Saccharomyces cerevisiae S288C: one gene and its partner. The protein of the gene in region 2 purifies or fractionates together with the protein of the main gene of each other region. This does not show direct contact. Each region holds a gene or a part of one and is shown on either strand. Other genes may lie near its edges.

Region 1 (4,116 bases), on a different chromosome or scaffold from region 2:
AGACCCTTTGGAGAGCTTTTGTGTAATGGAGCGTAACGAAAATATCATACCATACAGAAGTTTTGCATCTTCTTCATTCTGTTTGGAGTTTATTGTACCACTTGCGCTATTGGACGCCAATGTCCATTCTCTATCAAATATACAGTTACAATGCCTATCAAAGATCCAAAATGAATATATCCCCATGCTCCACTGATTTATGATTTATATCAAAAGCAGATTATCTTACGATAGTTCTGTATTTTTTTTTTGTATTTTTTCTGTAATGTATGTTGGAACTCAATTGTCGAAAATATAAGATCCGGAAATTCTTCAACACTAGTCAATAGTAAAGGACAACATTTCGACTGAGGCAAACCAGAATAAAAGTTGGTTGATTTTTTATGAGCCAGCGAGTCTATATAAAATAAAACACTATAAACAGATATAATTCGTAGACATAGAGATAACGCATACCTTATATGCTAGAAATATGAGAGACCTTAGCTTCATATAAGCCTTCATAACTCACCAGCTTCTTCGATAACGATTTCAGCTCTTGGTTTACCAGAAGCAGTACCGTATGATTCGATTGCTTTGACAATGTCCATACCTTTGGTTACCTCACCAAAGACAACGTGTTTTCCATCCAACCATGGACAAGGCACAGTGGTAATGAAGAATTGAGAACCGTTAGTGTTTGGTCCAGCATTTGCCATAGATAACAAACCTGCCTTGTCATGCTTTTTGACAAAATTTTCGTCAGCGAACTTGGAACCGTAAATGGATTTGCCCCCAAAACCGTTAGTCAAATCAGTGTCACCACCTTGGATCATGAAGTCTGGGATGATTCTGTGGAAAGGGACACCTTTATAGCCCCAGCCCTTTTCGCCGGTACATAAGGCTCTGAAATTTTCAGCAGTTTTAGGAACCACATTATCATATAATTCAAATTCTATTCTGCCGATTTTGGTTCCATTGACCGCAGGATCAAAGAACACTTTTTTACCTAGTCTAGAAGCAGAATTGGAGAATAAGCGGGACTGTTGAATGATGGAACGTTTAAACATGGTAAGTAGACCTTTGTAGTTGCTTGCTTTTTTTTTTGTTTCTTTATGGAATTAAATAGGAAAAAAATATTGAGTTTATTAATAATCGCGGTGCGAAAGGACTAAAATAATTCTTATTGGTTATTTTGATAATAACTAAGTACAAAAGTTCAAGCTAAAAAAGCTAACTCAGCTGCCTTTTCAGGTCCCACAAGATGTTTCAGTTCATCTTCACCCTTCAAGAAGGTATGGTCCTCAAAGTCAAAACCTGGTACCACTACTTCACTAATCAAGAAACCGTTGTCAAATTCTTCGTTTGGCAGAAGGAAACTTGCCTTAAACACACCTCCGGGGACAACCCATTGCGAGACTTCTCCATTCTTATAGTCAAAACCAACTTTAAATGACTTCACTTGACCATCAGGATATACTAGAACGTATTGACCCTTGCCTCTTTGTAAGATATGTATGATCCTGTTAATATTCTTATGAAATTTCCCAATTGGGCTGTCGGGGGTTAGTAGATAATAGATCAACGTAGATTGATTTCTTGTTACCATTTCAGTATTACCTGAGCCTCCATTTACTGGTTTTTCTACTTCCATGGTGTAGGGAGACCTATCTGTTTCCTTAAAATACCCACCTTCTCTATGCTTGATTAATTGCCAATCATTGATCAATTGTTGCAAACTACTTGGTGGCTCAGGCATTGGGACTTTAACGAAACTGGCCGGCTCTATAGCTGCATTTGCAGCTTCTTGTACATTGGCTGACATGCTCTCTATGGCGAATTCTGATTGAATATACAAGTGTTCAAATTGAAAGAAGTTTTCTTATGGAGACGGAGTTGAACATTTTCTGTTTGAATTAATATACATACATAAAAACTATACTTAGAGAAAAGAATAGAAAAGGCAAAGAAATATACATGGATTTTATCAGGTTTTAAGCTTTCACGTCCTTCTTTTTATCAGCAGATTCTAATGGCACGTCAGCTTTACGTTTCTTGTTCACGCTTTCATCTATGAGGCCTTGCATAACTCTTTTATCACCTGTGATACCGTTAACAGGCCTAAAATATGGTTGACATCTCCAGTATGGAACAGTTCTATATGAACCACCCCATGATTGCTTTTCGCCGATAGTAATTTCATCCTTAATAGCGATATCTGGCTGTTCAAATATTTCTTGCACTACTTTTTCGACAGGCTTCACTACTTGTTCCTCCCATTCTTCCCACGTGGCTTTTGCATTCATAGTAGCAAGTGTTGACCTAATATCAGTATGATGCGGCAAGAAAGGCCTTAAAATCTTAAAAAAATGTGATTTCATTGCTGTCTTGGAGGCTTTAGATTCCTGGCATTCTTTGACAATCTGGAAATACTCTCTGATAATCTTATCTACGCGTGGAAATATCTTCTCCTTGTTCTTAGTTTGGCCTACATTGAAAACACCAGGATTGTATAAGTTCCCCTCAGCACTCATCACTGCGTCAGCACCGATATGTTCCATACAACGTGAAATATCTTCAGGATATAAGATATTCCCGTTAGCAAAAAACACGGTTTCTTTAGGTAAATTATCTCTTAGGTATTTGATTGTTTCCCAGTTAGCTAAACCAGTTTTTTGTCCTTTTTGCTCTCTTACTCTCCCATGGACGGTTAAAAATTGAGCTCCAGCATCCAGCACCATCTTGGCGTAATTCAAACTCTTTTCACAGTCGTCAAATATACGTATTTTTGCTGTAACTGGAACTTTCAAATTTTTGTGCAAGGTGTTGATTAAATTGTGTATAAGGTCCCATTCTTCCATCAAAAATGACCCATAGTGACCTTTCTTAGCTATGCCTTGAGGACAGCCCAAATTCAAATCTACCGCATCGCATTTATCTTCCACCAGTTTAGCTGCCGCCAATAGATACTCTGGGTCATTAGCGCAGAACTGTACAACCAACGGCCTATCTACGCTAGAGCCGTCTAAGGAAGACCAATTATCTTCTCTATATTTCTTCGAGGTAGCAAATAATTTTGCATGTAACATGGGAGTGTACGCCAAGGTTGCACCGTATCTTCTCGATAGAATACGCCATGCTAATTCGGATTGGTCTACCATTGGTGCAACGATCCTAGTAGGACGGCCGATCTTGTCAAAAAGTTGTCGACCTGTTAGTTTTTGCATCAGAGCGTTATTAGCGCTACTCAGGGCAGGTTCAGTCATATGCAGTTGATATTGTTTATTGAGCTTATTGCGAGCCTGTAAAAACTTGGATAGTATAGACGATAGCACTTTGGGAGCTAAAAATCTATGTGTGCGTGAGTGCAGTTTGACGATCACCTTGCTTGTTTTTATTTATCATATGTTCTCAACTCATCGATTTTTTTTTTTGATTTTCACGCTTTTAAGAATAAGAAAAGATGATTAAATTTTTCAATTTGCCCTAAAGAACTAATATAATGTTACATACGGATATGCTAAATATCTATCTAAAGTCTATACACTGTTTACAGATTTCCTGTGGTTGATATTGTAAATAGCCCTAGATTGTAAGGCATGAGCAAACAACAGAGATACGGGCCAGACTGGTGTATCGCCAAGAATTCTAGCACCGCAATACAATGTTCTTGATGACAATCTTGTTCTCGTGATTATGTCCAGCGCTTGATTGGTAACATCATGTGAATTCAAAGTATTCTCTATTAAGGATGAGTCCAAACTCTCAATATCAAGACTGCCATTATCTGGAACCCTTAAAAACTCAGCAAATGTTTGTAATTTATACTCTCTTTCAGATAAATGTGATTCGATCCTCTTCAAAGTTTTGAATGCTTTTAACCACAAGATCCTGTCAGTGCTTTTTAAACTACCAATCATACAATCACTGTTTTTGTTTTGAGCAAAGTCTTCCAATCTCCTCATGTACCCCGCTATGACCAATATCGAAACAAAAATACAAGTAATGGTGAAGATTGGAGTCTGTGTCGATTTACCCTTCATTACAGAGACAGTATCAATCCAGAAAGTGATAACGGATACAGCGTACTCTGTGGCCTCTCGTAGTGATTCCCGCTCGTAGCACACTTTTTCTAAA
Region 2 (6,123 bases):
GCTCATATTGCTGGGGTGAGTTGGGCCATGACCAAGGCTATAACCCCTTTCTCTACCATAACCACGCCTATTTCCTCGGGTATTATCATAATCCCTACCGGAATGGTTGGGACGGGAGTATTCAGTATCTCTATCATACAAATCATCTTCCCATCGGGTATTCGCACGCGGCTTAGTACCCCTATCTATCTGTGGGCCTCTATTGCGGCTGCTGTTTCTATTTGGAGATCTTCCGTAATCATAATCTTCATCTTCGCTATCAAAATCTCCATACCCGCGACCACGTCCGTAACCATCATCATCATAATCATCATCATAACGACTGCGTGACCCCAGCGACATTCCTCTTCTTCTTGATGATCTTGTGTTTGGACGTGTTGAGGATTCATCAGTAGAATCAAAGGAATCTGGAATATCGTCGTAATAATGGCTTGTGTTGTCGCTGTATTGACCGTCATCATAAAAATCATCACCGCTAGCGTTGTCATCATGGTCGTGGCGTGTAAAGTTGAACGCTCTTGATTCCAAGATACGGAGTAGGGGGTCTGCTGCTGGTGGAACTTTTACTCTACCTGACAAAATCATCTTTGATGTACAGTTATCGCCGTAAAACTTTCGATTAGCTTCCCTTCTCTCCAAGATGGCTGAACCTTCCACAGACACACCGGCAAATAAACCTTTGCTTTTGGAATAGGCAAAAACTGCCGAGACACCACCTGTGGATGCAGAAGCTGCAGCTTCTGCACTTCTTCCAAGAGGACCTGCGGAAACTGACACATTACCACCTAAAGTAATTGTACCAAATTCAGAAAAGGACCTCACTGCCTCTTCCGAATTTAAAATAAAAACAAAATCTGTCAATTCAACGCCGACCATACCACCTGCACCAGCACCTGCCATAGCGATAGCAGAGGGAGCCGACCATGTACCGTCTTTTAACCTGGCCACAATCACCCCAGAACCTGCTCTCCCTGAAAACAAGAAGCCAGCCTTTAAAACCGTGATAATTGCTAGACCTTTAGCTCTTTTTAGCACATATGGTGGAATAACTTGGTCTGCTCCAAATACTTGATTTGGTTTAACAAAACTCCTTAGAACTTTCGCGGCCTTCCTGTAGTTAAAACATTCGAAATAAATCAATCATAAAGTTGTTAGTACATTACTTTTGAAAACTCATGCCCCATAAGCAATGGACACAGACTAGAGAGCTATCTTGAACATTTTAGCTGCATCCATAAGTTTAGAGGAGGGGCAGCAGGAAGCATATATATGAACATACTTGGTCTCGCTTTTCAAGCTTCGAGGAATTGGATTATTGATACCCATTTTTGGATTTTGGATTTGATATTACCACTACTCTTGAAAATTTTACTGTGAAGTGTAAGATAGTTTCATGTTATAGATAATGTTAAGAACAGGGTCTAGTTAGGGGGTAGTCAACTTTAATTCCCTTCAGGTCGTTTTCGGTCAGCGTCGGAACATGTAAAAATGTTGTAGGTGGCATACAAACAGGAAATATAAAACAGACAACAGAAGATATTTGCTCTCAAAAAAACAAATAAAAATGGCTTGGTCTGGTGGTAAGGATATAGTGGATCAGATATTTGATGCTGGGTATTGGCTCGTCTCGAAAAGCGCTGTCTTGAGCGATGAGATCAAGAACCACGTCGAAAAATCAATTGAATCCATATCTGGAAAGATATCCAACAAGGAGACTCCTCGACTACAGGAAAACGACAGTAACAGATCTAAAGTATATAAAACTTTGAGGATCGGGCTCCAGGATCATTGGAAGCTAGGCTTGGGAATTTCTGCCACCTCCCTGTGCTTATACCTTGGGTATAGGACCTTTTTTAAACTGCCACCTAATTTACCTGAAGCAGAATCTCAAGTGGTATTAATACTGGGCGATATGAATGATCCTATCATAAGGAATCAAGTGATGGATTTATATCGCAGACGGTTTACAGTATATATTTGTACTGAAAATGCAGACGTCTATAAGAAGCACGAAGAAGATCAGGATTTCATATATTACATTGATCCCACCTGCGAAAAAGACTTCGAGGGTTTTTTTGTTGATGTACCAAGGCTAGCATCCATATTGTTTATGCCAAGGTTATCATATCATCCATCCGGAGTAATTTCATGTGACTCATTGGAATCTGAAATTCATTCAAGTATATTTGTGTATTATCAAGCATTATTAAGCATTATACCCCATTTGAAGAGAAAAACCCAACTAATTATGTTCAATCCATCTTTGACTGCGGACCTGAACTTAGTCCATCATAGTACAGAAATTATAACGTCTGGAATAATCGACTCACTATTTAAAATTTTCAAGGAATATCAAAGGTTAAATGTTTCCACAATCAAGCTTGGAATCCTGCAGATTGGGTCACAACCATCGAACTATAAATTTTTGAGAATGGCCGGTTCAGACATTCACGAGGCCCTACATTATCCAGTTTACAAAATGATAATGAGTGCGAATGGGTATAAACTAAGACAACTGCTAAGTTGGTTAACGACTTTGGGAGGTTACAATAGTGTGTATTATTGCGGCCGTTTTAGTTATTTAGTCTCATGGCCATTTGCTTCACTTATATTCAACCATCACACACGTCTTTCCCTGAAACGCTTGAGAGGAAGATTAGCCAAGGTATATAGCAGCATTATTTCGTTTTTTTGCCGGTCATCTTCTAAATCATCCAAATAATATCCTTGATTAGATAACAATTGCTTATCTACGTATATATATACATAGCACAATCTCGAAAATATAATACTAATAACAAAATAAGTATTTAAAGAAGGGTTGATGAAGTCCTAGAAGTACCAGACCTGATGAAATTCTTGCGCATAACGTCGCCATCTGCTAATTTAATTGGGATTTCAAATTATCCAATTGCTTCAATACAGCAGATTTAGCGGTTCCACCAGTAGCATCTCGTCTTTCAACGCTTTGTTCAAAGTTAAAAGTTTCAAAAAGATCTTGTCCGAATCTCGAATCGATCTTTTGATACTGCTCCAAGGTTAATTTATCAATACCGCTTAGACCAAGTCTTTCAGCAGTAGCGACACACTCACCAGATATGTGATGAGTCTCTCTGAATGGAACACCCTTTCTGACCAAGTAATCTGCCAAGTCGGTAGCTAGCATATCCATCGTGAGAGCAGCTTCCATCTTTTCCTTATTTACAGTTAAGGTAGAAATAACACCTGTGGCAATCAGCATGGAGTGCTCTACAGTTGTTAAGCAATCGAATAGTGGCTCTTTGTCTTCTTGCATGTCTTTATCATAAGTAGATGGGATACCCTTCAAACTCATCAAGAATCCTGTCAGATCACCAAATACTCTACCGGATTTACCTCTTAACAACTCTAACGAGTCTGCATTCTTCTTCTGAGGCATTAAAGAAGAACCTGTTGAATAGGCGTCGCTCAACTGTATGAAACCAAATTCTGCTGTACAATATATAATCAAATCTTCAGCAAAACGAGAAATATGGTTCATGAACAAAGTTCCCCAAAACATCAACTCCACGATGAAATCTCTATCAGAAACAGCAACCAAGGAGTTACCAATTACACTATTGAAACCCAAACCTTCAGCCAAAAATTCTCTATCAATGCCGTAAGGATGACCAGCAAGAGCGCCTGCACCCAGTGGTGATTGATTCAATCTGTGTAGTATTTGACCCAGTCTCTTGTAATCTTCGGTGAAGTATGTTGCATAAGAGCTCAACCAATGAGACCATCTAATAGGTTGTGCCCTTTGTAAATGTGTGTAGCCTGGCATTAAGACATCTATCTCACCTTCGGCCCTCTTAATTAGAACTTCAACCAAGCCCTTTAAAGCTGGAAAGAGGGTGTCATTGACAATGTCACGACAGTATATTCTCAAATCGGTAACAACTTGATCATTACGGGATCTACCGGTGTGGACTTTACCAGCAATATCGCGGCCAATTAGTTCACCAAGACGTCTTTCATTCGCAGTATGGATATCCTCGTCGTTTGGATGACGGACAAATTTGTCAGCGTCCCATTCTTTTTTGATTTCAGCCAAACCTTCATGGATCTTTGCCAATTCTGTCTCCGTTAGAAGACCCAACTTCTGCAAGCCCGCTGTGTATACTTTAGTTCCTTCTAAATCTGCCTTATACATCTTATAATCATACGGAAGAGACGCATTGTAAAGGTGCATCAAAGGATCGGTTTCACCAGTGAATCTCCCACCCCATAGTTTTTGAGTGCCGTCTGACATGTTTGCCTTAGTCTTGTTATATAGTTACCTGCTTTTGAGCTCTTCAATTGCGAATATTCTCCCCTAGCTAAAGAAAGGTAGTCTTATCTCAGAGTTCTGTGCTTCGCTGACCTTTTATAATCCTTTTTTTTTTTTTTCACATGTTTCAATTTGCGCCAGCTTATCCAAAAAGTGAGTCATTCATCTACTAATCATGATTTTCGGGATTCTGCCAATGAGTAACCACCACAAGAACGAACAAATAATCGAAAAAAAAAAACTGTTCTAGGCCAGATATGATGGAGCCTTGGCAGATCAGGTTATTTGATTGTCGTTAACAGAGGGTTTGGAAGAGTAAAGAAAAATTAATTGCCTGCGCCAACCATTTATTGTTATAACGCTAATTCTTGAATAAATCAATGAATAATTAGAGAGAGGGAGGAACGTAAATATTAATCGGTATAAATATTTGTATATATGTGAGCGCTCACGTACTCTTCAGTAACTAAAGATCATGGCTTACATCTACCGCTGAAACGTGGATACAAGGAACAGTCTCTGACAGTGAATCTGTCACACAACCAGGCTAAAATACGTTCGGTACCGATACCGTAACCACCATGTGGGCAAGTACCGTATTTTCTTTGGTCAATGAACCAGTAGTAGGCGTCGGTATCAATACCCTCACGCTTAAACCCTGCCATTAGTTCGTCCATGTCGTCGATTCTCATAGAACCACCAGTGATTTCACCAACGTTTGGCATCAAAACGTCGACGGATTCAGTGACGCGGGGGTCGTCAGAACAACGCTTCATGTAGAAAGACTTGATTTCTACTGGGAATCTCGTCAAAAAGATTGGGACGCCGATGGTATCGGTCATCTTTCTTTCAGCAGCTTCTGCAATATCGTCACCAAATTTAAAGTCTTCGCCCTCTTCGTTCTTGATGTCGTGTTCGTTCAACCAGGTAATGGCATCCTTGTACTGTAATCTCATGAATGGAGCCTTTGGAGCCTTAAAGTTTGGATTCAATTGTTTTACGAGTGGGCCAGCAATTGGGTCTTCCAAAACGTATTGCACGGATTTGACGATCAAAGTTTCAATATGTTGTAATAGATCGTCGAAAGTCAAGAAGGCCAATTCAGCTTCGATATGGGTATATTCGGACAAATGTCTTCTTGTGTGGGACTTTTCAGCTCTGAAAGATTCTTGGATGGTATAAACATCACCTAGGGAGGCCAAACAGGTTTCTAAATATAATTGGGAACTTTGGGTCAAGTAAGCTTCCTCGCCGTAATAGTTCATCTTGAACAAAGTGGAACCACCTTCGACTTGAGTTTGCACCATACATGGTGGGGTAACTTCTGTCAAATGTTCTTCATCATAAACACGTCTAACGCTTTTCAGTAGAGCAGCACGGACTTTCATGACTGCAGACAAGGCATCTCCTCTCAAGGCCAAATGACGTTGGTCCAACAGTAAAGAAGGGTCTGAGCCCTCTGCGATTTTGTTTGTAAAGGAGTCTTCACCACCGGGGGCCAAACCTACAACTTCGTAATAGTCGACATTCAATTCAACACCACCTGGAGCGGTTTTACCCTCAGGCAATTTGACTATGGTACCGTACAGAGTAACGGTGGATTCCAAAGTCAGGTCCAAAGTTTGTTGAGCCAATGCCAAATCACCGGACAAGACACATTGAATGAAACCAGATCCGTCTCTGAGGACGACGAAAATAACCTTCTTGTTAGAACGTAATCTATGGATCCAACCGGAAACCTTAACTCTTTGTCCGACCTTGGAATAAGAGTCATAAATTCTAGTCTTAATGGCAGCTGGTAGCGATTCGTCCTCCTTAATGGTGATATTCAA

The links.
Region 1: the proteins of ARG4 (region 2) and CPR3 purify together in Saccharomyces cerevisiae (affinity purification with mass spectrometry, with the first as the bait; one large-scale study listed by BioGRID). This does not show direct contact.

The regions. Positions count from the first base shown.
Region 1 is NC_001145.3:107,935-112,050, reverse strand, and holds CPR3 (peptidylprolyl isomerase CPR3), read right to left. Parts: upstream 1,050-4,116; coding exon 501-1,049; downstream 1-500. Other genes in the region: TRAPP subunit BET5, read right to left, coding at 1-186; CFF1 (Cff1p), read right to left, coding at 1,199-1,804; DUS1 (tRNA dihydrouridine synthase), read right to left, coding at 1,974-3,245; TDA9 (Tda9p), read right to left, coding at 3,519-4,116. UniProt on the Saccharomyces cerevisiae protein: PPIases accelerate the folding of proteins. It catalyzes the cis-trans isomerization of proline imidic peptide bonds in oligopeptides. This isozyme is required for growth on lactate at high temperature.
Region 2 is NC_001140.6:137,130-143,252, forward strand, and holds ARG4 (argininosuccinate lyase ARG4), read right to left. Parts: upstream 4,274-6,123; coding exon 2,882-4,273; downstream 1-2,881. Other genes in the region: YSC84 (Ysc84p), read right to left, coding at 1-1,111, 1,280-1,326; YSC83 (Ysc83p), read left to right, coding at 1,565-2,722; asparagine--tRNA ligase DED81, read right to left, coding at 4,765-6,123.